Sus scrofa: one gene and its partners. The protein of the gene in region 3 interacts with the protein of the main gene of each other region in a pairwise test. Links are inferred from orthologs where the notes say so. Each region holds a gene or a part of one and is shown on either strand. Other genes may lie near its edges.

Region 1 (4,352 bases), on a different chromosome or scaffold from region 3:
GCCCCTCATTTCTACGACCCGCCCCTTTCTGGTTTTGTTGGTCTCCTTCCTGTTCCAAGAAATGAGTAAATCTCTTTTTCACTTTAAGGTCTTTGTAGCTGCTGTTTCTTCTGTTTGAAAGGTTTTTTTCTACAGTTTGTTGCTTGGCTGGCCCCTTCTTGCAGATATCTGTCCTAAAGTAGTTCTATCTTTCTCTCATTTTCCTCCACCATGGTTTCTTTTCATTATAATACAGTATTTATTACACTTTGAAATTATTATTTTTTATCTCCTCACCAGATCAAACCCTTAGTAATGCCTCATTCACTGAGTAAATAAATGAATACCCTACTCCTTCTGTATCCTGAAATCCTGTGATTTTGGAGAGACAGCAATGAGTGTTGGCTTGGAGAGAGATCTTATTTTTCTGCTCAGGAATTGAACCTGGGCAGCCTGGATAAAAAACCAGGAATCCTAGCCACTAGACTAGCTAGAGGTGAAAAGTAGAATTGCCCTAACTTTTGCCCCTTGTTGAAAGCAAGAACATTTCAGGGAGGCAAAGACTGTGAAAATAGGTATAAAGTTTATTGTTAGAGTCACAGTACAACATATGGGAAAGCACACAAAGAAGCAGTTTAAGTCAGAAGCAGAGAAGTAATACACACCCCAAAGAGGAGTGCGGGTGCAGGCGTCCCCTGAGTGAGGGGCACACCAGAGAGGTGATTTAAATCACTTATATAGCACAATTCTTCTGGATCTTTCTTTACCTTTGGCTAATTATCTTATTTATTTCTCACACCTGACTGGACACAGGACCCTTCCCAGTATATGTGCGTACCTTTTGGTAAAGATGGATTCCAAAGCAAAGTGTGCTAAGCAGGTATCAGGACTTATTATGGCCTGGTGCCTCCTCCTTTTCTGACCCCCTAGGAATCTTACTGTGCATGTGTAATTGGGGAGGTCTTCTTTACCCCAGGAGTGATTAAAGTGGTCATCTTATCTTTCTACTCCAGTAGAGCTCTGCTCCTGCAATTAACTTTTTCCTTGAAGTGCCAAAAAGAAACAAGGCCCAATTTGCTTGACCTAAGAAGTCCCAGCTGTTCTCAGCCCAGGGGCCCATCTACCTCTTACTTCACCTGGATATTATTGTTCTTTACCAAGAAGCTATCCTTGTTTTACTGAGAAGCCAGTAGAGCTATATATATTAGAGAGATATGTATATTCTCTATTTCACTTCCATCTCAGTTTACTACAGCCTTTTGTGGTTCCAAGAGGGCAGTGACTCAAGCATATCAAGGCTTCTCAGATACACCAGATCAGGGCCTTGCTTTACCCAAGCGGACCAGCAGGGGACAGTGTGGCCGGAGGCCTCCTTTAACTCACTGCGGAGCCCTAGTGAAGGAGGCATAGAAGTTCCGGAAGAGGAGTGCAGAGGCGGGCCAACCGGAAGGGGCGGGGTCGCCCGCAAACCCGCCCTTCCAGGGAGGCTGTTCTCCCTCGCCCCGCCCCTTCCCCCGCCCAGGCGGCCATGGCCATTCCCGACATCCCCTATGAGCGACGGCTTCTCATCATGGCGGACCCTAGAGATAAGGCGCTTCAGGACTACCGCAAGAAGCTGCTGGAGCACAAGGAGATCGATGGCCGTCTCAAGGAGTGTGAGTGCACCTTTCTTTCCATATAATCTCGTGTCTGAACTCGCTTCTGTCTATGACAAAGCAGAGGCCTTTGGCCGAGCTCGGCAGCCGAGCACCGGGAATGAGAAGGCCTCGGTCTGGGGACAAGGCGCTTTGTCATCCCTCCCTGTGCTTGAAAAGCGGAGCCTCTTCGGGCGTAGAAATGGCCCAGACTGGTCCAGGTGACAGAGAGAACACCCCCAGTTCTGAGATGGAAGTGTAGATGACCAGAGGAGGAGTGGGGAAGAAGTGGGTCAGGGATGTTTCCCAGTTTGAGGTAAGGAGTGCAGTGTTGTTGGAGTCCTGGGACCCGGAGCGGGGAAAAGAGTTAAGCAAACCAAAGCAAGAGATGAAACTCGGGAAGTTGGCTCGTTAGCGGAGTGGAAAGCCCAACACAGAGCTTTAGAGAGAAGGGATCCATCGGTCAATAATAGCCCTCCTCTTCTTTCGTCGTGTTTTGAGTAGTACTCTACATGGTACACAAAGTTCCCTTTCTTCCTGAACTGAAAAGATTGTTAGGATTTTTTCTTAGTGTACCGTCAGTGAAAAGCCTGAGTGATTTAATTAAATGGGGGAAGACCATAACCATATAATTTTGTGGAGCGCCGCACCTGTGGACTTCATATGGGTTAGAAAACCAGAGAGTAACAATCCGTGTGGGTAAGTGGAGAAGTGAGGAAGGCTCTAACTCTTTTATCATTCGAATTTGTGATCTCAAATTGAAAGTGTCAGAATGTCAATATCTGTTAAAAGTGTAACCTAAAATGTGCTCAAAGTAAGTATTTACGACCAAGAAAAGAAAAATGTGGTAATTTCTCTGCAACATTTCGTTTTTAAACATGTCATCTGCAAACGGTATTGTGCGTGTGTGTGTGTGTGTGTGTGGTTCGATAGAGTGGATATGAAATATATGTAAAGTGAAATAGACTTGAATTTAAGTAAAGTGAGACCTAGTGACAAACACACTGGCTAGGATTATTTAATTTAAAATATTCAAATTATATTATTTCAGTAAGGGAACAATTAAAAGAACTTACCAAGCAGTATGAAAAGTCTGAAAATGATCTGAAGGCCCTACAAAGTGTCGGACAGGTAGGTAATGGAGCTTGGGATGAGAGGGTGATGGTAATTTGCTTTGCTTTTTTAGTTCTTGGCAAAAAGTAATGCTTTTTTTTTTTTCTTTTTAGATTGTGGGTGAAGTACTTAAGCAATTAACTGAAGAAAAATGTAAGTGTATTAGATTGTTAATTGGTAAAGAAAAAAAGAGTAGACTCTCCTCCCACCACCATCTTTTGAAATGCTTATTATTTTTATAACTGTAATGAGGTAGATAACATTCTTGCATAGACTAAATTTTCTTTCAATTATTGTCCTTTGGCGAACAGAGATAAAACTCAACCTTCCATCAGTGTAGGTATATTCATTTTTTTTACTTTGTAGTTTTCAATTTGTTTTTTAATTTTCTTTCTCTAGTCATTGTTAAAGCTACAAATGGACCAAGATATGTTGTGGGTTGTCGTCGACAGGTAACAATTTATTTGTATAGTGCTTTATAACTGACAAAGCACTTTCCTCTAAGTTATTTAATTCTTAAGGTAAGCAAGTCAGGCATTATGCTCATAACTCCCAAAGGTAACTTGTTTAGACATATGTAATTGTTAGCAAAGCCTGAACTATGGATTTGACTCCTGGTAGTTTCTACTTTCTACTGAATTGCATTGCCTCACTAAGTTCTACACACTAAGAAATCAAAGAATTTTAGAACTGAAAAAATACCTCAGATTGTTTCTCTCTTTCTTTTTTTTTTTTTTTGGTCTTTTTTTAGAGCCACACCCATGGCATATGGAGGTTCCCAGGTTAGGGGTCAAATCAGATCTGTAGCCACTGGCCTACACACAGCCACAGCAACGCCAGATCCCAGCTGTGTCTGCTACCTACACTACAGCTCATGGCAACGCTGGATCCTTAACCCACTGAGCAAGGCCAGGGATCAAACCTGCGTCCTTATGGATACTAGTTGGGTTCGTTACCACTGAGCCACAATGGGAACTCCTCAGATTGTTTTAATGTTGACATGAAAGTATTAGACCTTATAAGTAATATTTTATATTTAAATATAAAAAATGTTACTTATATGGTACATATGTACAATGGAATATTACTCAGCTATGAAAAGAATGAAATAATGCATCTTGCAGCAATATGGATGGACTTAGAGATTATCATACTAAGTAAGTCACACAAAGACAAATATCATATCACTTATATGGGTATCTAATGAAAAACAATACAAAATAATTTATTTACAAAACAGAAACAGTCACAGACTTCAAAATTAAACTTTATAGTTACCATAGGGGAAATTGTAGGGAGCGGAGGGATGAATTGGGAGGAAGGGAAATACACACTACTGTATAAAATAGGAATTAACAAGAACATCCTATATAGCACAGGGAAATTTACTCAATAATTTGTAGTAACCTATATGGGAAAAAAGAATGGCTATATGTATAACTGATTCATCTTATTATATACCAGAAACCAATATAATATTATAAGTCAAATATACTCCAATAGAAGGGTTTTTTTTTTTTTTTGCTTTTTAGGGCCATACCCGCAGTATATAGAAGTTCCCAGGATAGAGGTCAGATCCGAGCTACAACTGCTGGCCTACACCACAGTGGCAGCAACACCAGATCC
Region 2 (4,107 bases), on a different chromosome or scaffold from region 3:
TTCTCATGCATTCCAAATGCTCAGTCTCCATGGAGGAGGCTACCTGGTCACAAACATTTCTCAAGAGGGAATATATCCTCAACACCTCTTCATTGGTAACACCCCCACCCCAATAGAACAAAACAATTTCTAACCATCCTGAGAACTTCGGGGCACTTTTTTTTGGAGGGGGGAAGAAAAGAAATCTTAAGAGGGGAGTAGGAGAGTGTGAGAAACTCCTCTTGTCTCCAAATGGAAAAAAGGCCTTAAAAAGCTGGATCAAAGGAAGAAAGGGGGATGGGGGAGAGAGGCTGCTTAATTACAAAGACACCCTTTTAAAGAAGGCGCGGGCCCTGGGAGAGGGCTCTTAGGAGAGGCACAGAAGCAGATGTACCCACTTAGAATTCTGGCACTCAATGGGACCTCAAGGTCATAGCATCCATCCCTCTGCTTTCTGAATAGACTGTTCTTAAGGCATTCTAGAAAGAGACTGATTCGTTCTTTACAAAACTTCAGAAAAAGCAACCACACAAAATGCTTGGGGAGGGTTCATTAGTCTATAAATCCTATTTCATAAACCGGAAATGAGATTTCAATTTCCAAGTCCAAAAGAGTATTGAATGTGAACTTTAAAATTCCCTTCGAAAATCTTTTAAATAGGTAAACAGAGCCGCAATTTCTCACGTAAAAGTTACTCTCTATATAAGTATGGTCAGAGGTTTACTTCGTATCTTGTCTATGAAGTAAGAAAAAGCACTTTCAATTTTACGGAGCCACAGACTTTTCCAAAGAAAGAAGTATCTTAAAATGAGGTATGAGGTAGTGCCAGAAAGTGTCTGCAAATGACACCGGATAAACCCATACAGAATAGCTGGAACCTGAGTTATCATCTGTAAATAGATGCAACTACTCTACAACCACCTGGCTATTAAAATGTCCCAGGCCAGTTATAAAATCTAGTTTGGTCAGGCCAACTTTTCCTTCCCAGCCGATCTGAAATATGATAGCCTTTAAAATTGTCACCCTGTAGCATTCCTTCACTCCTTCCTGCTTTCTTTTCCCCCATTAAAATCAACCAACGAAATTAGGTAAAAATATAAGTAAATAATATGTTCCCAAATAAGCAATGCGTTGAGGACCTCTTGGTAATAGGTCTTCAAGCACCACCATTCTTATGAGTTTGCCATGCTTACTCAATAGGAGGTAGATGGGAGATGGGTAAAGATTTATCCCACTTCCAAAATGGTATTTCAAACTATTCTTAGCTACTAAATGAGGGTGCTGAAAGGTCTAACTGAGAAAGCTTCACAAAGGCTGTCCTGAGAAAGGACTTTTCACAAAGCCTAGTTCAAGGAGACTTAAATACCCTGAGCCCTCCATTATTGAAGATTATGGTGACTAATTATCTTCCTTTCTGAATGGGAGAAGAGGGTTATATTTTTAAAAGTTTTAATTTGCCTCCCAACTTCCACTCTTTATGGGGGTGGGGGAGGAGAGGGAGGAGGAAGGAAAACTAAATTAGACACTCCAAGGTGTCAGAAAATTCTTTCCAAAATGCATGCTAGAGATTGGAATGCTGTTTCTCACAAACTGTCCCTTCCCTCTCTCATTTAATTGTATTTAGTCCCTTGCTGCAAATTATTATTATATTATTATTAGCGGCAATTTACCAGGGAAAGCTCAGTCTATAAAAGACTGTCACTTTCCCTCTCACTTTTTGCCTTCTTTTCATTTTCATACACTGATAAGCCCATCTTGCTGTTGAAGAACCATCATATAGTGACCCAGGCTTGGGACCCTCAAGCACCTGCAAGATCCAATAAAACTAGTTACTAACATCTGTAGTGGCAACCCCCTCCTCACCACACACACACACACACACACACACACACACACACAAACACATATATATATATACCTAAAAGAGTGTAGCATTGTAGATCACTTCAGACTAACTTCAAGAATTCACAGCCCCCAGGGAGGGGAGTGTGAGCCGCCAGCTCAACCCCAAGCATTTAGGAGTAAGCATCTAACAATCTGAGATAAGCCTGGACATTCCTGATGAGTTAAATCCTACTAGACCTCAAGTTCCCTCTGGTCTTTAATTCCTTTTGTGCTTAATTACCTAGAGACCTACAAGGACCCCAGGAAGCAAGAGAGTAAAAGTACCATCGAGTGGTGGTACCCGTTAGCATCTTTGTGGGACTGGAAAGGAGCGCACACTCTTTAACCTATTTAACTTGCTGCACATCCAGGAAAACTCGCGGCCAGCTGCAAAGAAAGTAGAACACACAGGCATCCCCACACGCATCTAGATTGACTCACTCATGCTGAGGTTACGATCAAGTTCATGCCACCATGGATTCCTGCCCCAGATCCCCGCGAAAAGTAACCACGCGTCTCCTACCCCTGTAAGCAACGAAGACAAGGTGACGACTCTGCTCGCTCAAGAGGCTTCCGTCCCAGGCCGGAGGCCAGGGATGGGCAGGAGGGAAGCCCCAACTCCCGGCTGCTCCCCTCCTCGCTGCTCGGTCCGGGCTCTCCTTGGTGGCAGTGGACAAGCAGGATACCGGGCCGGAGGGTGGAGCAGCGGATGGTCGGAGGCGAGACAGACTGGAGGTGGGGGTGGAGGAGGCGGTGAGAACTAAGAGAAGATGAGGCGAAAGGGAGCGGAGATGGAGGAATAAATCAGGGGGTCTACCAGCTTGGGCAGCCAGAAATCTCCTCGGAAGGAAGGGGCGTGACTGCGATCAAGGCAGCTCCTGGGCAAAGGATTGGAGGTAGGGGAGGGGGACGAATGGGTGGCTTTTCTTCTTGCGGTGAGCGGCAAGGACCGCCCAGGAGAGGGGGGGGGAAGGGGAGGTGGACTAGGGAGTGGGGCGGAGTAGAGGGCGGGGAAAGAAGGAAGGGAGTAGCTTGGACGGGGTTGGGGGGGGGAGAGGCGGAGCCAGGGGGCGGGGAAGTTTCAAACAATTGAACGCCAGGGTCGGCCGCTAGGCGAAAGCCGGGGTTGCACTCTCTGGTCCTTCCACTAACCCGGCTCGACTCGGTTACAGTACCCCTGAGAGTCTACACAAGGACTGACTGGGAGGAAGGAAAGGGTTTTGCAAAGACTCCAATAATAGTGTACGGCAACTGCGCAGCGGAGTCGCGTGGGAGAACCAGTGCAGCTCCCCGCCCCACAGCGGGAGGAAGAAAAACAAATAATAGAAACGCTGAAAAGCAGCTTCAGGCAAAGCTTGCTTAAAATAATGCAGGAAGGAGCAGCGCTCCTCCGTTTTCCTTCCCCTCTTGCTTCCTATGACCAGCAGGCCCCCACCCAGGTCGCAACTATGCGAGACACCCTCCTTTCTTCCTCCGCTCCCCCAGCCACCCCCTTCCTCCCCCGCGCCACCCTACGTCCCCGCCCCGCTCCCGCGGCTGGCCGCGCTGGCCGCTAGGGTGGCGGGGGCGGGGCTCTGCGGAGCCTCCGCCTCTTGGGCGGGCAGGAAGGGCCGGCTTGGGCGGAGCCGGCCCGGAGGAGTAAGTCCCACCCACCATTCTTTGGCAGTTCCCGGTTGGCGACTCCTGGCCTAGGGTTCGCTTGCGATTGGTCACTTGCGTCGTCGATCCGATCCTTTTGTCCCACCCGCCCTCAAAATTAATAAAACTAAACAAGCGGCTATTGTCTAGCTCTCGGTTCTTCCCCAGCTATTGCTGCGGAAAGAAAGATGAGACGCTTGGTCTCTCAGTCTCCTAAGAGAGTGCGATAGAGTGTTGGCCGGCTCTAGTACACCTTTGTGGCACTGCTCGGCCCTCTGGGAATAGGTAACTTTTCTTCCTCCCTAATTCTTTAGCCCAAGAGGAGGAAAAAAAGTACGAGAAGTGTCAATGTGGCGTTCACATTTCCAGGCTGCGAAAAATTGGTATTGCTTAAAGAACACAGGGTTGAGAACAGCCGCTCAGGACACTGAAAATCAACCATTTTACAACCAGGAAACGAAACCACAAAGAAATTGAATAACCTGGAATTTGGAACTAAGGGAAAAACTCACTTCGAACTCAAGCACTTATCAGCTAGTTGTGTGACTTTAAGTCCCTTAATTTCTATGAGCCTTAATTTTCCCATCTGTAAATAAAAGGCTATAA
Region 3 (4,413 bases):
TTACACCACAGCTCATGGCTGGATCCTTAACCCACTGAGTGAGGCAAACCCACATCCAAACCCACATCCTCATGGATACTAGTCAGATTTGTTTCTTCTATGCCACAATGGGAACTCCCTCCGCATATATATTTTTAGCTGGGGGAGTACCCAAAGCTTGAGTTACTTCTTCCTTTTCCGTTTTATTTCCTTTTCTCTCTTAAAATAGTTGTCCTAATCATAAAATGATTTTTCTCTTCCACTTCCTTTATTTTGTTTACAGGATGTGTTGGTGTGATTTAATTTGCCATTTAATCTCTATTGCAGAGTGGGAAGTTAGAATTAAGCTGGGAATGGAAGAGGATGCCTCATCATAGAGATCAGACTCAAATTCTCTTAAAAAAAAAAGCAAAAGAAAGGAGGGGGAAAGACAATGGTATTTTCTAATGTATTACGACTCAAAAATGAATCCATATTAGTTTAGTTGAGGGTTTTTGTTGTTGTTGTTGTTTGTCTTTTGTAGGGCCGCACCCATGGCTTATGGAGGTTCCCAGGCTAGGGGTCCAACTGGAGCTGTAGCCGCCGGTCTACACCATAGCCACAACAACGCTGGATCCTAGCCGCGTCTGTGACCTACACCATGGCCTGCCAGAACCTTAACCCACAGAGTGAGGCCAGGGATCGAACCATAGTCCTCATGGACACTAGTCAGTTCGTTAACTGCTGAGCCACAACAGGAACTCCTAGTTGTGCTTGTTTTTAATTGGCAGGGGGAGGGGGGAGCATGGGGAAGTTATAGCCAATTGCTTGGTTTGTCCAGTAAAGGTGAGGGTGTAGAAGGGATCTTCTGGAAGATCCTATGACCTGAAGGCTAAATTTGTCCCATATTTTTTTCTGGGGCTGCCTCTCCTTAACAGCCAGTGCTTTTCGGTTTTATCAATAGAGTCAGCAATTACTCTGTTCATTAAATGACTTTAATCAGATAAGCACAAAAGAAACATATAACTTTAAATGGTGATAGCTGCTATTAAGAAAAGGAATAAAACACCCTGGAGGATAACATAAAAAGGGGGGACTAATCTGATCTGGGAGGTTAGAGGTTTTTCTGAGAAGAGATCCGAAATATGAGATGGGGGAGAGAATTTTCGGCAGAGAGAACAGTGTGGCAGAAGGGGCGTGAAGCCCAGCTGCAGAGGCGAGGGCACAGGCTGAAGCCGCAGAGGTGAAGCAGGATGCTCAGAGCCCCACGGCTGCTGCCCTAAGGATTTAGCCTGCAATGCGGAAGCCATTGAATGGTTTTAGGCAGGAAGGTGGAGACATGATCAGATTTTCATTCTGAAAATGTCACTGAATGTGCAGTGAGGCAAACCGATCGGAGGGATCCTGTGAACGCAGTTATGAAATAAAACAGAGTCTGCAAGGGCTGGGTCAAAGGTGCCGAAGGCTCAGGAGGCGGTTCCAGCGCTCCGGCCCTCGCGCGGCTCCGCGGAAAACCGAACCGACCCACGTGGGCCTGGCCGCCCCGCCCCGCCGCGCTGACGCCGCGCGACTCCGCAGTCCCGGCCTGGGTGGGAGCGCGACACGAAAACCCGCACCCACGCCCCTGCCCGCGTGGACGCCCAGGCCAAGGGACAACCCCCCCCCGCCCCCGCCACAACCCCGACGGAAGAGTTCCCGCCGCGGGCCTTCGGAACAGAGCTAGCTGGGCGGGCCGGCGCCTCCAGGCCGTGAGTGGGGGCCCGGAGCGGGAGGGTTTGGACCCCTGCCGCAGGGGGCGGGGGTCGCAGCCTCGGCCCAGCTGCCTCTTTGGGGGAGATTAAGGAAGGGCCGTCAGTATCCTCGGTCTCCCGGGGTAGTCTCCTTCCCCCACCCCCTCAAGGCTAGGCAGGAAGGGGGGCTGCCTCCTCCCACCCTTACAGAGCGCCCCACCTCGGCAAATTGCTAATTAGCTTGGAGAGAAACCTGATCCTGGGCTGTCTCCATTCCCATTTTACCGTCTCTGAGAACCCCGTGATTCTTAGTACCACCTCCACTCATCCCAGCTTCCCTCACGGCCCCCGCCCAAGCTTAGAAAAAAAGAAAACATTGGGCCAGGAAGATCTCCAAGCCCCTTGCTTAACAGGATGGAGTGTGTAGGTTACAAAGGGACTGTCCCTAAACCGTTGCTCCTAGGACCTCTTCCCACTACTGAATGTGGGAAGGGTCCCTGCTCCCTCCACTTACACTATCCCTCACTCTTACTGAACCCCCACTTTTTCGAATCCTAGTAATATATGGTCAATAGAAAGCTCTCGTCAAGTAAACACTAATTTTGGGAGAGGTCGGTTGTTGGGGAGGAAGAATAATGGGGCATGCCCTCTTTCCAGGGCCTCAGGATGGAGCAAGCTAGAGGCAGGGGCACCGGGATTGTGCTAGACATGGAGGCTTCAAAGGGCCGGGTCAGGGGAGAGAGGCTTGTCAGTGGGGGAGGGGGTTCCTCTCTGAGCAGAGGGGCGAACCTAGGCTTCAGCTGTAGCCTCTGCTACTGTTGTTGGGGTCTTCCTGAGCATAGATATCCCACTGCAGTCCCCCTCCCCCATTCACACACTCACTCGGCAAGGATCTACTGTACCTGGTTAGTGCCAGGCTCCATACTGGCTCCTGAATATGATGGAAGATATATAGAGGAATTCTATCTCTAGTCACAGAGCCAGAAGTGGAAGCTGCTATTGTAAGACAGATAAAAAAGCAAAACCCCAAAAACTTGAATAGACATTTACTGACCATCAAGAAACAAACATGGGAGTTCCCGTCATGGCTCAGTGGTTAACGAATCCGACTAGGATCCCTGGCCTTGCTCAGTGGGTTAAGGATCCGTGAGCTGTGGTGTAGGTTGCAGACACGGCTCGGATCCCGCGTTGCTGTGGCTCTGGCGTAGGCCTGCAGCTACAGCTCCAATTCGACCCCTAGCATGGGAACCTCCATGTGCCGCAGGAGCAGCCCAAGAAAATGGCAAAAAGACCCAGGGCAGTGGGGATTCAGAAGAAGGCACAGTTAGCTGTGTTAGTGTCTTTTGGGCAGAGGGGAGAATATCCAGATGGCTTAGAGAGGTGGGGCTATTAGAGCTGAGTTTTGAGGTACAAAAAGGAATTGTCTGGGTGGCAAAGGGAGGAGTTTGGAGGGAAGGGGAGAGGAAGGGTAGTGTAGGCCAAGGGAACTGTGTAATGAGAATAATGGTGTGTCCTGAGATCTCTGAGCAGTTTGGGGTGGTGGGAGGGGCAGAGTGGCAAGAAGCAATTCTGGAGCCGTGAGCAGGGGCCAGATGAAGCACGGCCTTGTAGGCCATAAAGGGGTTTAGCCAGAGTTTGTTGGGGGGAGCCATGACAAATTTACTTTTTTTTTTTTTTTTTTGCTTTTTAGGGCCACACCCTGCCATATGGAGGTTTCCAGGTTAGGGGTCAAATCTGAGCTACAGCTGCCAGCCTATGCCACAGCCACAGCCACACAGGATCCGAGCCGCATCTGTGACCTACACCACAGCTCATGGCAACGCTGGATCCTTAACCCACTGAGTGAGGCCAAGGATCGAACCTGCAACCTCATGGTTACTAGTTAGATTTGTTTCCACTGTGCCACACGGGAACTCCCAAAGTTAAATTTTTAACTAGAGGCAGAGAGATCAGCGAAAAGGCCACAGCAGTCAGTAATCCAGAAACAGCCCTAACCAAGTGAAAGCGAGGGGAGATGTATGTACAGACGCACGTTCTCTTTCTCTTTCCCTCTCTGTGTCTCTCTGAGGTTTTTAAGAGAAAGAATTGTCTGAATTTGATGGCTAGTGAGGAGGGAATGAAGCAAGTGAGGAGTCCAGGCTGCTCTTGATTCTTAGCTACAGTGACGGACTGGAGAGTGGGGCCGTCTTGCTGCGGACATGGAACGGGGAGAGCTGGTCTGGACATGGGGAACTTGAGGAACCCAGGCTTGGTTGCAGAATTTGGTAGCTGTCGGGTCTGGGCTGGAGACAGATCTGAGTGCCCCAACACATGGTTGTTCTTGAAGCTACAGCAGAGCATGAGGTCATTTGGGAAGAAGTGCATTAAGAGAAGACAAGCTGCCTCCCAGGGCTAAGGGAAAACCCTGTGAGGAGATGGAAAATCGGCAGACAGAGAGGGGGGAAGAAGACTGCAAAGGAAGGTGTTACCAGAGTGGAGGGAAAGGGGCTGAGAAGGAGAAGCCTTGTCCTGTGGCCAGGTTGTCTCAACCTCAGCAACCCACACCATCCTGCTTTGACTACATTCTTCTGCTTCCCTTTACAGACCAGATGTTTGCCGTCCAGCCAGGGGTTGCTGAGGGGGCTCAGTTCCTGGGGGGCCCGCCTCCTGCAGTATGTCCACCCGAGCTTCAAGCCGACAGTAACTCCAACTTCATGGCGAGTGCCAAGGATGCCAATGAGAATTG
Region 4 (4,321 bases), on a different chromosome or scaffold from region 3:
TCTGTAGGGAAATGGGCCCCACTCCTTGCACTGGCACCTGCAACCCCTAGTGTCACCACCTGGGTCCTTCTCACTCTGACATCTGCTGAGTTCTGAACTCAGATGTAGGACTGTTCCTTTTTTTTTTTTTTTTTTTTTTTTTGTCTTTTTGCCATTTCTTGGGCCGCTCCCACAGCATATGGAGGTTCCCAGGCTAAGGACCAAATCGAAGCTGTAGCCACCAGCCTACGCCACAGCAACGCCAGATCCAAGCCGCGTCCTTAACCCACTGAGAGAGGCCAGGGATCGAACCCGCAACCTCATGGTTCCTAGTCGGATTTGTTAACCACTGAGCCACGATGGGAACTCCTAGAGCTGTTCTTTTAATGGCCCCATGTGGGTGGCTCATGGCATCTGGAGCTAATCAGAGACCACAACTCGGGTTTCCCTCCCACCAAAACTGCCCCTCTGGTAGACTCCCCATGCCTCCACTGCAGTCTCCCAAACCCCCAACCCAGAACTCGTTCTCAAGCCCTCTCTAGCTTTCACACCCACGCTTGCCAACTCCACCTTCAACATTATCTAGAACCTGCCCTCTTCTAGGCACCTGCACAACTTCCATTGATACACCTCTGGACCAGTGTCTCTTCCCTTATCTCCAAGATTCCACCCTCTCCCTCCACCAGCGGTTCCTCCCACAGCCGCCAGAGGGCGCCTGCGTGAGGTCTCAACCCTCCCTCCTTCATAATCCTCTGTGCTTCTCACCTACTGCAGAGCAAAAAAAAAGCTCAAATCCTCCCTGTGACCCACAGGCCCTGAAGAATCTGCCCCCATCACCTTCATACCCTGTATCCTCCCACTCAGCCCCACACCGATCTCCTCACTGTTCCTTGAACACATCAACCACACTTCAACTTCAGGGCCTTTACATATGCTGTTCCCTTTGCCTGGAATGCTCTTCCCAACACTAGCATGGCTCCTACCTTGCCTCCTTGTGTGTGTGTGTGTGTGTGTGTGTGGTGTGTGTGTGTGTGTGTGTGTGTGTTTCTAGAGGTCAAATCGGAGCTACAGTGCCAGCCTACTTCACAGCCACAGCCACTGCAAGATCTGAGTCTCGTCTGCAACCTACACCACAGCTCACAGCAACCCCGGATCCCCAACCCACTGAACCAGCATCCTCATGGATACTAGTTGGATTCATTTCCACTGCACCACAACAGGAACTCCCCTCCTTGTGGTCTTTATTCAAGTGTCACCTCCTCAGTGGGCCTCCCTGATCACTTTACCTAAGATTGCAAGCAACCTTTGTCTGTTTGTGGTTCAGCAGCCAAGCCTCCATAAAAGCCTTACAAATACACAAATGATTGAACTTGATCATGTCCTGTGCCAAACCGCCTCCTCCCTCACACAGGGAACCCTGGGAGGCAGGCTGCCCCACTCACCTCTCTCTGCAGCCTCTCCTTCTCAGCCTGGAAGGCCTTCAGGGAGGACTGGGTGCGGATCAGCTCGTCCTCGCGGCTGCCCAGGGCCAAACGCAGCCAGGTGTTCCTTTCAGCCAATCGGGCTGCCTCCCGCTGGCAGCTCCCAGCCCCCTCCTGCTCCAAGCCTGGCATCGGTCCCCCCTCGCTTCTGTCCTTTGCCTCCATTGGCCCAGCACAGCTTGGGGGCCTGTGGCGCCAGGCAGCAGCAGCCGCTTCCAGAGAGCTCAGAGCATGCTGTAGAGTCTGAAACACATCGGGGGCTCCAGGTTCAGAAGGGCTGGTCTCCCTTTCCCGTGGGGCTGCCTCTGGGGCATGACGGGCTTCCTCTGCAGGCTCATGGGGCCTCTCTGGAGCTAGAGCTGGCCCCCCGTGAGAGTCCCCATCAACTTCTTTGTCAGGCCTGTGAAGAGGTGAGAGATGGAAAGTTCTAGAAATGGGGTCATCTGGGGTGGCTAACACACAGAGGCTTTGTAACAAGGCTGTGACTGCATTGCACAGGGCCTTGAAAGTCAGGCTGAGGGCAGTGGGAGCCATGACATGCATGTGAGTAGGGGAGGGACATAAACAGATCTATGGGTGGGAAAGATGTGCCCAGCCTGGAGTAGGGGTCACAGGACAAACAGGCCTTACCTGCTCTCCAGGCTCTTTGCTTTGGCCTCCACCTCATGGCCCAGCAGCTCCGGCTTACAGCTATCCTGAGATGGCACAGGGCCCAGGTGAGAGCTCCCACTGGCTGCCTCGGCCTCCTCTGAACTCTCTGCCACAGGGTCCAGCTCACCCTGCAAATGATCCCTAGGACTGAGCCAGGCAGGTCTGGGTCCTGAGGTCCCACAGAGATGGGTGTGGCAGGGACAGGGGACACTTACGGGCAAAGCATGCCTCCCTCGCCGGCTTCGGGGCCGCGTGGCCCTGGCACTCATTGTTATCCAGAAATCAGTGTCTTCTGAGTCTTCCTCACCCCCTAAAATCACAACCTGATCCCAACTCAAAGTGAATGCCAGCCTCAATTTCTTCTGTGTAATGGACATCGATTTCACTTCTCTGGAAGGATCTTGAGTTATCAATGATGGTTTGGCACTTTTAAATGCCTCCCTTGACGGGAAGCTCACTACCTCTCAAGGTTGCCCTGACCTCCCCATTCTCCTCTGCCTCTCTTATTCTTCACTGCGTCTTTGTTCCCCTCCCTCCCCTATCTGGGCTTATGGCAAGGACTTCAATGGTCCCCTCTCCCTGCCAGGGCTCTCCTGAACCGGAAGTTCCAATCCTGGGGTTTGGTCCCCTCAGCCTGCTCTACTTCTCTATTACTCTGGGGGCACTTTGGTCAGAGGACCAAGTCCTTGGACACTCTTGGGGTAACTCTGGCTACTGCCTGCTCAGACTTGGGCTGGCCAAGGCCAGCCTGGGAGGGGCCGGAAAACAGGAAACCCCCTCCCAGGGCCATGTGACTTGTTATTGTGCAGTTTCCTCCTGAAGGACAGAGGCTTCCTCGAGCCCCAGCAGGAGGACACATGTCTAGCTCCCAGGATGTCAGTCCCTCCTTGTCTCACCAAGCCCATGGCTCCTCCATCTCTGACTCTTGGATTTAATTTCCCAGAAGCCAGGATGTTCCCCTGAGCTGATGCTCTTCATCTTGCTCCCCTGCAAACTTCTTTTCTCTGCCTGTCAGGGTCAGAATTCTTTTTTTTTTTTTTTTTTTTTTTTTTTTTCTGTAATTTCTTGGGCCGCTCCCTCGGCATAGGGAGGTTCCCAGGCTAGTGGTCAAATCGGAGCTGCAGCCACCAGCCTATGTCAGAGCCACAGCAACGAGGGATCTGAGCCTCGTCTGCAACCTACACCACAGCCCACGGCAATGCCGGATCCTTAACCCACCAAGCAAGGTCAGGGATCAAACCCACAACCTCATGGTTCCTAGTTGGATTTGTTAACCCTTGAGCCATGACGGGAACTCCAGGGTCAAAATTTTTGTTCCACTTCAGTCACAGACCTGGGATTGGTAACCTTGAGCAAGTAATGATCCCCTCTGAGTCTCAATTTCCTTATCTTCCTACAGTGTCATAGGAGTTTTTGGTTTTTGTTTTTTTTCCCAATATCAACAACTTTTTCTTGGAGTTTAATTGATTTAAAATGTTATATTAGTTTCAAGTGTACAGCAAAGTGATTGTTATATATGTGTATATATACTATATATTCTTTTAAAGTTATTTTGAGGTTCTTTCCATTATACATTATTATAAGATATTGAATACAGTTCCCTATGCTATACAGTAGGTCCTTCTTGTTTATTTTATATACAGTAGTGTGTCTGTTAATTCCTCTCCCTACCTTTCCCCTTTGGTAACTGTAAGTTTGCTTTCTATGTCTGTGAGTCTATTTCTGTTTTGTAAATAAGTTCATTTGCATCTTTTTTTTTAGATTCCACATAAAATGATATCACATGATATTTGTCTTTTTCTGTCTGACTGACTTTTTTTTTTTTGGCTGTGCTTGTGGCATATAGAAGTTCCTGAGCCAGGGATTGAACTTGCATTATAGCAGCAACCCAAGCAGCTTGCAGTGACAATACCCAATCCTTAACCTGCTGTGCCACAAGAGACCACCTTGCTTTGTGTGTGTGTGTGTGTGTGTGTGTGTGTGTGTGTGTGTGTGTGTGTATTTCACTTAGTATGATCATCTCTGGGTCCATCCATGTTGCTGCAAATGACATTATTTCATTCTTTTATGGCTGAGTAGTATTCCATTGTGTGTGTGGGTGTGTGTATGTGTGTGTACTGGTATATATACATTTACCAGTGTTATGAGAGTTTTTTCCTTTTTCCCTTCTTTCTTTCTTTTTTTCTTTTTTGGCCGCCCTGCAGTATATG
Region 5 (4,331 bases), about 37 Mb from region 3:
TCTAGTCACTTTTATCCTGGCACTATTTTTTTTTTTTTTTTTGGTTGCGCCCACAAAACTTCCCGACCAGGGACCAAACCCTCACCAAGTAATAACCAGAGCCACAGAGGTAACACCAGATCCCCAACCTGCTAGGCCACCAGAGGACTTCTGTTCTGGCACTATTAATGGAAACCGAGGCACAGCGAAACTGCCAGGAAGCTAATAAGTGGGGTATAGTCAGGGTGTGAATCCAACAACTTGCCTCCAGAGTCTGTGCTCTTAACTACTACTCCATGCCGCCTAGGTAATAATGTGGCCCCAAAGGACAAGTGCTCAAATACTGGCACAGTGGACAGGAAGTACTCTAAGGGAACGGGGTCAGATCCCAAAAAGGGCTTCCTGTAGGAAGAGCAGCCTGTACTGGGTATGTAATATATCAAATGATCAGTATAATTAACACTGCTGTATGTTACATATCAAAGTTATTAAGAGAATAAACCCAGAGTTCCCTTTGTGACTCAGTGGTTAACGAACCAGACTAGGATCCATGAAGATGCAGGTTCGATCCATGGCCCTGCTCAGTGGATTAAGGATCTGGTGTTGCTGTGAGCTGTGATGCAGGTCACAGATGTGGCTGGGATCCTGCATAGCTATGGCTGTGGCTGTGGCGTAGGCTGACAGCTGTAGCTCCATTTCAACCCCTAGCCTGGGAACTTCCATATGCCTCAGATGTGGCCCTAAAAAGCAAAAAAAAAAAAAAAAAAAAAAGAGAGAGAGAGAGAGAGAATAAACCCTTCCATATGTCATACCTTTGGCTCGGATCTGATTCCTGGCCTGTGAACTCATATGCCATGGAGTTGCCAAAGAAAAAAAGAAATATGTATTTTTTCTAAGTATCTATTTATTTACTTTTTTGGGTCTTTTTCGGGGCTGCACCTAAGGCATATGGAGGTTCCAGGCTAGGGGTCGAATCGGAGCTACAGGTGCCGGCTTACGCCACAGCAGCACCAGATCCAAGCCACATCTGCGACCTACACTACCGCTCATGGCAACGCTGGATCCTTATCCCAGTGAGCAAGACCAGGGATTGAACATGCATCCTCATGGATGCTAGTCAGATTCGTTTCCGCTGCACCACAATGGGAACTCCCTATTTCTATATCTTTAATTTCACATCTACAGGAAATGATAAATGTTCACTAAACTTATGGGTAATCAAATTGTTATACTGTACACCTTAAATTTATAAAGTTTAATTATATCTTGAGTAAAACTGGAAAAAAAAAAAGCACATGCACATGGAACAAAACAAAAGAGGCCCATGTATCATTCCAGGTAACTCAAGATCTGGGTCTCCCACCTTTGGATCTTGACTCAGTCTCATAACCACCACCAAAGTCCTGAAAAGTTGTACTCCAGGTGTAACGTCTAGATGTGGATGAATGGGGGAGGAGAGGGGCTTGCAGCAAAGACCCTCGTCTACGGGGTCTGGTGGAAGGCCCTGTGTAATGGGAGGGACTGGCCAGGAAGCCCCATCTCTTTCAGCAAATGGAACTACAGATCTCCCTAAGTCTGGCAAAGGTGGAAAACTGATCTGGGGGTGAGGGTGGGGTGCACGGAGGTAGAAAACCATTTGAAAGGACGTCTAGGTGAGGGGCAGGGACAGAAGAATGAACCAACGGGCCTGAAAGGCGTGCTAAGGATAAGGGCTAAGGGGAAGCCAGCAGGGGATGGACACGAGAGTCTGGGCAATGATGCCTTGCTCCCGGCAGCAGGATGGGGCTGAGCGTCCATCGTTTGAAATGGGGGAGGGCAGGGATGCTAGAGCGAAGGAGACACAAGAATGATCTATTAGCAGGTGTTGGATGGTCGAGTCTGGGGCTCTGGCCAGGGGAGTTGGAAGGGGTGAGACTGGTCCCCAGAGGTCCTTGTTATGGATAATAAAAGCGGTTGGACCAGGCATGAAGGAGGGCTGGTTTCACAGACACCGACTGCACGGATTTTCACAAACGACCCCACTAGGAAGAGGTGATTATTCTCATTTTACAGGTAGTTCCCTATCTACGAGGCTAGAGAATTTAAATTATTTGCCCAAGGCCACCCGCGCCCGTCTGCGATTTGAATGGAGCGCGGTCTGTGACTCAAACCAGATCCTAAGCCACAACAAGGGTTCTCAGAGTGCCGTGGCAGTTGAAGAGATCAGCACGTGGCTGGCCGGAAATTCGTGAAGCAAGAGAAAGGAAAGGAGAAATGAACTCGTGCAGGGATCGGGGAAGAGGTGAGGCTGAACCACCAGAATGAGAGGGAACAGAAAGCCGGACCCCGGATCAGAAGGAGAAAGGGGCCCCACCCGAGTGGGGGTGGTCCAGGGGGTCGGGAGCAAAGCAGGGCCAGATCCTCAGGTCAGAGGAAGGGGAGGGCTGAACGCCCTGGTCGGAAGTGGGGGACAGTCCCCGGGATCCCCGAGGGCTAGAGGCCAAGCCCGCCTCCCGGTTGGGGCAGCGCGGGGCGGGGCGCGGAAGGATCCGGGCACGCCGTGCTGCGCCGCCCCCGGTATATCTGTCCCCAGTCCCCCGGGCCGCCTCATTCCCCATCCTCAGATCACAATCTCTCCTCACAGTACCGCGACACCTCCTCCGCCCGCGTAGCTCCAGCCATGGCTCTGTAGCCGCGACCCCTCTGTGCCCCCGGCCAGTCGCCGTGCTCACCGCGCCTGCGCTCTCCGCTCCTGCCGTCTTTCTTCAGCTGAGGCCACCGCCGCCTCTTCTTTCCGCAGCCATGGAGTGAGTAACCGCTCGCTCGCCCCTCCCTCTCCAACCGTCTTTCCCGCCCTTTCCAAGCTCGCGGCCCTCACCACCGGGCTCGGGGGGGTGGGGAGACAAGAGTGAGGAATCACGGTCGCGCAGGCGCAGAAGAGACAAGACGCTCCGTTTGCGCGCTGCGGAGCATGCGCACTCAGCTGATGGGGGGAGGGTGCGTTCTTCCAGACAATGTTGGCGTTTAAAGACGACCACATGCGTTTGCGCCTGCGCACTAGCTCCCAGAGAGGGTGGGTTTCCCCCCTCCTCCCCGCTCTGATTGAGTCTGTCAATCAGCGATTGCTCAGATCCACCGGCGCTTGTATCTCGGAGCAAAGGGCTGACGAGCAGCAGCCGCACGTGCGCAGCACTGATCCCGAGGAGGGCGGAGCCTTGCGGGGGCAATAGGACAGCTCTGGGGCTGGAGCCTGCGCTTTGGCCCTCGGCGAGACAGCCGTGTACGGGGGTGGGGGGAGGGGGAGTCGGGAGCTGTTCTCATCCCGCCCCCCTCCACCCTCCGCCTCCCTCCAGTTTGCTCAGGCGTAAAAGCACGTCTTCCCTCCCTTTCTTTCAAGCAACTACGGGGGCGGGGGCGGGGGGAGAAGGCGGGGCTTAGAAACGACCAGTTAAGGGACGGGAGCTAGGATAAGAGACGTCGCGGAGGGTGGGGCGGGGGCGGGGTACCCTTTGGGAGAAGGGGCGTGGCTAAGCGCGCCGTGCGCTGAGGGGGTGGGGTTTATATTGAGAAAGAGGCGGGGCCTCTGGGAATCGTCGGGGAGGGTGGAGCTAATAAACCAGGGGGCAGGGCTTGGGGGGACGGGAGACCACTGCAAAATTCGAAGGGAAGAATGGGATTTGAATGGAGGATTTTGATGAAGGGGCGGGGCAGGGGGATTCCCCTGGGAACAGATTCACAGCAGGAATCTAGGGACAGGGTGGGGCCTAAAGGATATGTTTTAGGGCAAGAGGTGTGGCTGGAAGAAAATTCCCCTGGGATTGAGGTTTTTGTGTTTTTTTTTTTTTTTTTTTTCCATGAGAGATAGTATTATGGGGTGGGTGGGAGGGTCTTAAGGTAATTCCCCTGGGACACCATTATGTTTCAATATTGGAAGGATTGGGTCTAGGGAATTCTGAGGAAAAGTAAGTCGGGGCCTAAAGAAAATTCCCTTGGGAATGGGTGGGGTCCCCATTTGAGGAAAGAAAGGGCAGATGTAGAATTCCCAAAAGGTAAGGAATCCTGGGGACCTGAGGGGGTATCGCTTGGTTTCCCCATGGCCTTGGCCGTTGGCGAGGCTGGCCCCTAACCCACTCACTTTTGTCTCCCACTCGTAGGTCCTCCACTCTCGCCTTGGTGCCCGTCTTCGCCCAGCTGAGTAATCTCCAGAGCCTCCTGCCAGCTGTTGGTGCAGCCTCCTTCATTGCCATCTGTGCCCCGCACCCGAGCTGCAGCCATGTCACTCCTGGCGACCCTGGGGCTGGAGCTGGACAGGACCCTGCTCCCAGCTAGCGGGCTGGGCTGGCTCGTAGACTATGGGAAACTCCCCCTGGCCC
Region 6 (3,658 bases), about 38 Mb from region 3:
AGAGAAGGCCCTGTAAGTCACCAGGGGTAGGGTGAGGGCTGGGTGCCCCTAGTAATTGCTCCGGGAGTCTTTGCTGGTGGTGGAGCCCTGGCCGGTGCTAGAGGCTGGGCCAGTGCTTGAGACCTGGCCTCTGCTGAACCCGAGGCCTCCGCTTGATTCGGACCCAGGGCCTCTGCTCTCCAGGCCGCCAAAGCTCTCGTGGCCCCTGCTGGACTCCAAGTAGCCAGTGGACCCCAGGTAGCTACTTGAGCTGGGGGATCTGAAGGTCACACGCCCCCCAGTCGAGCTCCGGCTGGACGCCAGTGCCCCGGTGGCACTGGTGGAGCCATAGGTCATGCGGCCCGCACTGGAGCTGGGCTCCCCGAAGGTGACGTGGCCGACATTGGAGCTGGGGGCGCGGCCTCCGCCGGCCACCAGGATGCCGCTAGTCCTGTGGCTCATGATGGACCCCGGGATGGCGCTGGGGCTCTTGGGCAGCAGGCGGGTGCTGGAGCTGGCCTTCTGGGAGAAGGTGATGCTTGGGGTGCTGTCCACCTTCTTAACGGCCTCGGCCAACTCCTTGAGGTGCTGCTCCCGCGCCTGCTCCTGGACCTTCAGCTGTGGGGGAGGCCGGTCAGGGCCCCCGAGGCCGCCGAGCTCCCCCCACCCCGCGCCGCCCCTTCTCACCGACTTCACCACTTGGCTCAGTAGCTCCTCCTTGCTCAGCGGATAGTCGTCTCTGGCCTCAAAGCCCGGGGGCTCTTCCCTAAAGTGGGGGGAAGGCAGGCCCCGACTGTATTCTCCATCCTCTGAAGGCCGATGGCTCCTCATAGCTCGGCCCAGAGACCCCCCCCAACTGGGCCCTGGGCAGCCCCGAGCGCCCTGCCCCCTTTCTCCTTCTGCTTCCCGAAGAGCACCCAGTCCATCTTCTCCCCCCGCCCCAGCCACCCCCACTCTCCAGTCTCTGAGAGAACCCCCCATGTGTCCCCCCGTCCCCGTGGGATCTCCATCCCCACCCCCACTCTCCTGCCCTCTGACTCACAGATTGTCAGGGGGCAGAGGCAGGACCACCTTCTTGAGAAGCTCCTCGGGGCTCTGGCCCAGCACCATGAGGGCAGCGCTAGGCAAGCTGGTGAAGGGGTAGCTCTGGAGGAAGGAGAAGCCAGTGGTCCCCGCACACCCACCTCCGAGCCTCGGCTCCCTGCCCCCCTCCACGCCCTCTGCACCCGGACCTGGGTTTCCAGGAAGGCATGCACCATCAAGAGCTCCACCAGCCGCTTCTCGATGAGGCCCAGGAAGAGGCCTATGTCCCGGTCTCTCATCTGGGTCTTGACCCCAAGGAGGTCATTGATGAGTGTGCTGTCACACTGGGCCCTGGTGAAGAGGCGCTGGATGGCTGGGGTCAGAGGGGACAGGCGGTCACCGATCCGGTGTCCCCTGGAGGCCCTCCCTCTCTTCCCCCTCAAGTCCCTGCTGCCTGGGCCGCGGGGACCGCAGGCGAAGCTCAAAGATGGAAAGGGACATGCCAGCGATCAGATGTCCGGCGGTGAGAGGGCATCGCTGGGGCCCTGCCCGGGGCTCGGGACCACAGGAGGCCAGAAGGGAGGGAGGTCAGAGGGAAACGTGAGAAGGGCACCGCCACACGGAAAGATGTCTTCACCCGGCGCAGTTAGAAGCACCCAACTTCTAACCAACCCCGCGAGTCCGCAGCCCAGGGTGTCTCCCCCACAGAAACACGCATAGGCGCCCCAAGGGCGCCGAGGCTGCGTTCCTGACCCGCTGTCACAACGGCCCGTGCGTGGCTCCCTTGCACCTAGTGAACTGGTTTTTGTGACTGAAATAAGAAGGCGCCCATGACTCTGACGAAACCCTGCAGCCAACGGGAGTTCCCAGGTGGCACAGCGGGTTAAGGATTGGCATTGTCCCTGCTGTGGCTCCAGTCTCCGCTGTGATGAGGATTTGATCCCTGGCCCTGGAACTTCCACACATCAGGGTCATGGCCAAAGACCTGCATCCACCACAGCCTCATCACACACCCCTGCCTCCTCCACCTGAGCTCTGGGCTCACATGCAGTTTCCTCCCATGGTCCCTCCCAAAACATCCCACAGCAGTGCTCACACCGAGCTCACCGAGCTCAGGGCCACAGGGGCTTCTTCTCCCAGGTCCGCACGTCACCCTCACCATGCCAGACCCTGTGTGCCTCACCCACCCCAGGGTTTATCAGCCAAGACCTTCTGTGCTCTGTCCCCTCCTCTCCATCCTCAGCCCCCTCCCCCCCACCCCACTCTCTCCTGCTCACAGACCAACCATGGCTCCCCAGCACCCCCAGGAAAAAGCTCCAGTGCCCCCGCCTGGCATCTCTTGAACTCCCACCCCGCACCCTGACATCCCCCTCCACACAGAAAGCCTACGGTCCTCAAATGCACTTCCAAGCCTTGGCCCCACCTGCTGGGAGCCTTCCCCGTCCCGTTTTTCAGTTAAATACTTATTCTTCGAAATCCACCTGAAGCATCGCTGCTCCCAGGAGACCCTCCTTTTCCTGCGACTCCAGCAGAGCCAGATGCACGGGCACAGGGCCCGGTGCTCAGCAGGGCCCCACATTTGGTCTGATGCTCTGTTACTGCCACTTGAAGTCCTTGCCGGTTTTTAAACGAGGGGCCCCACAAATTCAGTCTGCACTGGGCCCCCCAAATTATGGTCCTGCATCCCGCGTTAAGGCACCCTCTTGCTTCTGAAGGGCCCAGGGTGTCCTCCACCCCAGCCCCTGGGTTACAAGTACCCAGTGCCCATATCTGTCTCCTCCCACCCCCTCCCTGCCGGGCCCTCATCACCTAGCACAGCGCTTGGCATCACAGTGCCTGAGACAAAGGGAAAGAAGGCCTGCTGGTTCTGACTGTGCAGCACGAGGTGGCTGCCTGCTCGCTCCCTGTTACCACCCCCACCTCTGTCTCTCTCCACCCATCATCCCATTAATTCTCATGACAACCCTACGAAGTGCACTCTGCCAGCCCACTTCCGGAAGGGCTTCCACGGAGGAAACCACACGCCAAGGTTCACAATAGTGGAGCTGGGATTCAAAGCCAGGGCAGCCTGACTCTCGAGCACTCTGCATGAGGAGGATGGGTGATGGATGGATAGGGGAAAAACCGACAAGGCAGTGCACAAGGCGGTCCGTATAATGCCTCCACATGGCCCGCCTTGGGCTGGCTCTGCGACTGCTCATCGCATCCTTCCAGAAGAGGAAGCCGAGCGGCTGCTCACCGGTCTTGAGCGCCTCCAGCTGCCCGCGAAAGTCCTGGAAGCGGGCCTCCAGGTTCTCGGCCTCCGTGTGCACTTCGTCCACGCGCTGCTGCAACTCAGTCCGCTGCTGCTCCTGCTGAGCGCGCCGGTCCTCCTCGCTGCGGCGCCGGCTCACCAAGGCCTCCTGCATCTGCCATCGATCGGGGCGCCACACTGGGCCCAGCTCCGGAGGGGGCGTGAAGGAGGAGACGTGGAGGGGGCAATCTGCGTGGAGCTGGGGAGGGTGCGGTCCCGCTCACCTCTTTGATCTCCTCCTGCAGGTGCTCCAGCTCCGAGTTCTGCTCATTGATGAAGTTGAACTCCGCGAAGTTCCGCTCCTCCACTGCCGGGCGGGAAAGGCAGGGGCCAAAGAGACAGGGACACGCAGACAGAGCGACA
Region 7 (3,658 bases), on a different chromosome or scaffold from region 3:
CAAGAATATTCCTTGGGGCAAAGTAACCCAGAGTTCCTACAAAACAGTCTCCACTTGATTTAGATAATGATTCGCCACTGAATAGAATTTCACATTTCTAATTTATGATCACAACAATCTCACATGTCAGATTTGTAATTGTATTTTACAGAGGAGAAAATTAGAGCTTGGACCGAATTTCTAGGTAATGTACTGGCAGGTCAGGCAGTACTGCTGCTAAATTCTGTGATCCAAGAATCTCTGAATTCATGACTATCTTCATGGGGGCCCCAGGATCAGGGATCTGACTGAGCCAGTCATAGACAGTCACTGTAAAGATGCTGGTGATGTCCCAGGCTGTATCTCCCTGGACCCACGCCACGGGGGACAGTTCCTGGCCCACTGATAGTTTCCCATCTCAGACCTGGATCTCTCTCTTCTCTGAGAGATTTCTCAGGCGTCGTCCATGCAAACCTGGCCGTGTGTGGGTTTTCTGCCCACCTAGGTGGGACTGCGCTCTCCCAGTGGCAGATGGGAGACTGGACAACTGCTCCCCATCTTCTGGTGGGAGAAATCTGAGCTGTGGTCCTCACGGCTTCTCAGCAGGTCCCTGGTGGGATGGAGCCCCAGTTGCCTATACTGTATTCTCATTTCTCCATTTCACTCTTGGGCTTCCTGGGATCTCCTTCCACATAACCTACATCCAGATCCTTGACTCAGGACCTGCTTTTTTGGTGGAACTCAAACTAAGATGCAGGGCATGGTAGCAGGGTACTATAGGAGATGCAGTGACATTCAGAAGGTGGGTGTGGTTTCTCTAGGAGCATAAAAAGTCAAGTTGATAGTCGTGGGAGTAGCAATGATGATGTGTCTACAGAAGGTAAGACACCATAACTAGATCTTCCATCAGGCTCACAGTTGCAAATAGTGCAATCTGTGGCTTATATAAGGTCATTTAAACTTTCCAGGCTACATGTGTCACTTTTGAGTTAAGAAAATATTGCTAGGGGAAGGCCAGAGCTGGCATCTCAAAGTTGAATACTCAGTCCACAGTGATCACAGCCAGGAAGAGGTGAGGGCAAGGATATAGCATGATCACAGGCTTGGAGTGGGGGACAAGCAGGATGTATTCAGAGAATATGAAATTAATCTGGTTGGGGGTCCATGAACTACCTGAAATTGTAAGGTGTGTGTGTGTGTGTTTGTGTACAGGTGCATTTTTCTATGGAGACAATCTAGAGCATTAACCAGGTTCCCAAAGGGGGTTCATGAACTAAACCATGTGGAAGAAGGCACTGAGCACTGAGGATTCTGAGAAGGCTTGTGATGTGAACTAAGAATCACAGAATGTTAGTAAACTGTGCCCTGAGTGATCACATTGAAATACCACCTACTGAGCGCTTGTGCTGTGTACTAGGATAGAGCTCAGCTCTTTATAAAGTTATCTTGTTCACTCACCACAAGCCATTCTTTGAAGTGGGTTCTGATATTATCCCCATTTGACAGATGAGGAAACTGAGACTTAAAATGATGCCTGGCCCAAGGTCACACAGCTGGATTTGAATTCTGGCAGGCTGATTCTAAACCCCATACCTTTAACCCCACACCAGTGGCCCTCAAACTTTAATGCACAGCAGAATTACCAAGAGAGCTTGTTATAACAGAGATGCCTGGGCTCCATCCTCAGAGGTTCTGATTCAGCAGATCTGGGGCAGGGCCTGAGAATTGGCATTTCTAACAAGTTCCCAGGTGCTGCTGCTGCTGTTGGTCTGCTATTGGACACTTGGCAAACTCTCTTTGAACTCTAAGCTCTCATCTCCAGAGAGGAGGATGTGGCACCTCCAAGAGTTGATGTGACGCATCTTAGCAGCCAAACCAAGATGAGACCCTGGATCTGTGGCTTCTGAACCCAGGACTCTATGCCACTCCTGCTTGGAGGAGGGCACAGCCTAGAGAACTATGTGTGTGCACTTGCACACACCCAGCTTTATTACCTGATGTGTGTCCCCCTCTGGAGGATGGGCGTTGGGGGAAGACAGTTCCTTGCTTGGCTCCTCCGAGCCCCCCCGGGCCCTTCTCCACCTTTTAGCCCGCCGATCTGCAGCATGGGGGGCTTCCTCAGGCTCACTGCTGTCTGACGTCTCCCTGCTGGCTGCCTGGGGGTTGAAGTTCACATCTAGCTCTCCCTGTAGGCGCATCTTCTCAGCCACGGGGTTCCTGGGGGCCTTCCTCTGCAACCAGGACAGCCTGGCCTGGTGCCCAGCTTCACGGGAAGAGCCTGCGGAGGAGGTCTCTGAATCAGAGCACATGGCCTCGGGGTTGGGGGAGAGCCCGGAGGAGGCAGAGGCGGCAGAGGGGCCTTGATCTGAGCCCTGGACCTGCATGGGCTGAGGCTGCGGGTGTCTGGGCAGGCCCTGGGGCTGAGGGCACAGCGTGCTCAAGGCCTCCCTCCAGTCAAAGTCTTCCTCACTGTCGGAGCCCATCTCATCATAGGCAGATGCCACACTGGAGGCTGCCTCCAGGGCCTGAAAGGTGCCGCTCTTAGGTTTGACCAGCAGGCGGGTCGGGGGCAGAGCCCCATCCTTGAGGGCCATCCAGTTCCCATCAGGGCTCTGCAAAACTGGGGCAGCACCTACAGGCAGGAGGGAGAGAGAAACGAGAGAGGGCTGTTATCGCCTCAGAGCAGGGGGCTGTTCTCCTCTGTGCCCCTCTTCCTGGAGCACTTCCTGGCCTCCCACCTGATGTAGCCTCCTCCTTCTCTGAGTGGCTGTGACAACCGGAGTGGCTCATTGCACGATCTGGCTTGTGTTCTGGCTGATCAGGCACAGGGCGGAGCCCTCTCCCTGACGACGAGGGCCCTGCGGGAGATCTGGTCTCAGTCATCATCCTGGCCTTCACTGTCCCCAGGTCAGCTTGTGCAGAGGAAAGGGCAGAGGCTGTGAAATCAGAGGGCCTGGGTAGAAAGCTGCTCGTCTCCTTAGCTGCTGTGTGAGTGAGTGTCTGAGCTTGGGGCTCTGGTTGGTGAAAAGGGCACTGGATGAAATGAGGCAAGGCTCATAAAATGTGTTACACGTACCTGCTCAGAGCAAAAACAAATTCTTAACAGCTCTTTCCCCTGGACCCACCAGTGAGGCCACTGTAGGGCAGGGCAAAGAACAAGAACTCTGGATTCAGGAAGAGCCAGGGCTGAGCCCCAGTCATTGCCATTACTAGCAGGTGACCTTGGTCAGAGAGCATCTCTGAGCCTGTTTCCTGACCTGTCCACGGAGACAGTGTGACCTTCCTGGGCTGTTGGGCGATCATTATGTTCACTAGCACATGTGAAGCATCCATCATAGTGCCTGCTACACTGAGGGCCCCCAGCTGTTTTATCTTCTCTCCACTGAATTGGATTATTATTTAACATCCAACTAAGGATCAGCACCCATGTACGCCTTGTACATGTGTATAGCAAGCAGGTAATGTCTATCTCCTATTCAATACTGTGACAATATATTTTCATTGACTGTGTGAACACTCAGAAAAGAGGCTAACCAGGGTGTTATTACCTTTCACATGCTATGGACTCTACTTGTGATAACAGCAGGTCTTCCAGAAAAAAAAAAGGTACTCTTTGGTTGGAATTTTCCCCAGTGCCATGCCCCAAGATCGCCAGTGAGGGAGTGCAGGAGCCAGGGAT

The links.
Region 1: the proteins of C6H1orf216 (region 3) and PSMC6 interact in binary tests that used the Homo sapiens proteins (3 or more experiments, as listed by UniProt). The two-hybrid records come from large-scale screens. The link is inferred for Sus scrofa from reciprocal best matches to the Homo sapiens genes C1orf216 and PSMC6.
Region 2: the proteins of C6H1orf216 (region 3) and AMOT interact in binary tests that used the Homo sapiens proteins (3 or more experiments, as listed by UniProt). The two-hybrid records come from large-scale screens. The link is inferred for Sus scrofa from reciprocal best matches to the Homo sapiens genes C1orf216 and AMOT.
Region 4: the proteins of C6H1orf216 (region 3) and USHBP1 interact in binary tests that used the Homo sapiens proteins (3 or more experiments, as listed by UniProt). The two-hybrid records come from large-scale screens. The link is inferred for Sus scrofa from reciprocal best matches to the Homo sapiens genes C1orf216 and USHBP1.
Region 5: the proteins of C6H1orf216 (region 3) and NUP62 interact in binary tests that used the Homo sapiens proteins (3 or more experiments, as listed by UniProt). The two-hybrid records come from large-scale screens. The link is inferred for Sus scrofa from reciprocal best matches to the Homo sapiens genes C1orf216 and NUP62.
Region 6: the proteins of C6H1orf216 (region 3) and CCDC114 interact in binary tests that used the Homo sapiens proteins (3 or more experiments, as listed by UniProt). The two-hybrid records come from large-scale screens. The link is inferred for Sus scrofa from reciprocal best matches to the Homo sapiens genes C1orf216 and ODAD1.
Region 7: the proteins of C6H1orf216 (region 3) and MYRIP interact in binary tests that used the Homo sapiens proteins (3 or more experiments, as listed by UniProt). The two-hybrid records come from large-scale screens. The link is inferred for Sus scrofa from reciprocal best matches to the Homo sapiens genes C1orf216 and MYRIP.

Annotation. Positions count from the first base shown.
Region 1 is NC_010443.5:182,327,661-182,332,012, forward strand, and holds the start of PSMC6 (26S protease regulatory subunit 10B), read left to right. Parts: upstream 1-1,409; 5' UTR 1,410-1,507; coding exon 1,508-1,634; intron 1,635-2,664; coding exon 2,665-2,744; intron 2,745-2,839; coding exon 2,840-2,879; intron 2,880-3,125; coding exon 3,126-3,178; intron 3,179-4,352. UniProt on the Homo sapiens protein: Component of the 26S proteasome, a multiprotein complex involved in the ATP-dependent degradation of ubiquitinated proteins.
Region 2 is NC_010461.5:92,645,044-92,649,150, forward strand, and holds the start of AMOT (angiomotin), read right to left. Parts: upstream 2,820-4,107; 5' UTR 2,387-2,819; intron 2,324-2,386; exon of another isoform or gene 2,305-2,323; intron 1,354-2,304; exon of another isoform or gene 1-1,353.
Region 3 is NC_010448.4:91,887,583-91,891,995, reverse strand, and holds the start of C6H1orf216 (UPF0500 protein C1orf216 homolog), read left to right. Parts: upstream 1-1,492; 5' UTR 1,493-1,706; intron 1,707-4,271; 5' UTR 4,272-4,276; coding exon 4,277-4,413.
Region 4 is NC_010444.4:60,410,162-60,414,482, reverse strand, and holds the start of USHBP1 (Usher syndrome type-1C protein-binding protein 1), read right to left. Parts: upstream 2,855-4,321; 5' UTR 2,489-2,854; coding exon 2,327-2,488; intron 2,240-2,326; coding exon 2,091-2,239; intron 1,861-2,090; coding exon 1,422-1,860; intron 1-1,421.
Region 5 is NC_010448.4:54,942,895-54,947,225, forward strand, and holds the start of NUP62 (nuclear pore glycoprotein p62), read right to left. Parts: upstream 2,812-4,331; 5' UTR 2,691-2,811; exon of another isoform or gene 2,487-2,690; intron 2,261-2,486; exon of another isoform or gene 2,173-2,260; intron 1-2,172. Other genes in the region: ATF5 (cyclic AMP-dependent transcription factor ATF-5), read left to right, coding at 4,232-4,331. UniProt on the Homo sapiens protein: Essential component of the nuclear pore complex. The N-terminal is probably involved in nucleocytoplasmic transport.
Region 6 is NC_010448.4:53,730,377-53,734,034, forward strand, and holds part of CCDC114 (coiled-coil domain-containing protein 114), read right to left. Parts: intron 3,603-3,658; coding exon 3,520-3,602; intron 3,411-3,519; coding exon 3,242-3,410; intron 1,376-3,241; coding exon 1,212-1,375; intron 1,126-1,211; coding exon 1,022-1,125; intron 746-1,021; coding exon 667-745; intron 598-666; coding exon 49-597; 3' UTR 1-48. UniProt on the Homo sapiens protein: Component of the outer dynein arm-docking complex (ODA-DC) that mediates outer dynein arms (ODA) binding onto the doublet microtubule. Involved in mediating assembly of both ODAs and their axonemal docking complex onto ciliary microtubules.
Region 7 is NC_010455.5:24,514,929-24,518,586, reverse strand, and holds part of MYRIP (rab effector MyRIP), read right to left. Parts: intron 2,612-3,658; coding exon 1,974-2,611; intron 1-1,973. UniProt on the Homo sapiens protein: Rab effector protein involved in melanosome transport. Serves as link between melanosome-bound RAB27A and the motor proteins MYO5A and MYO7A. May link RAB27A-containing vesicles to actin filaments. Functions as a protein kinase A-anchoring protein (AKAP).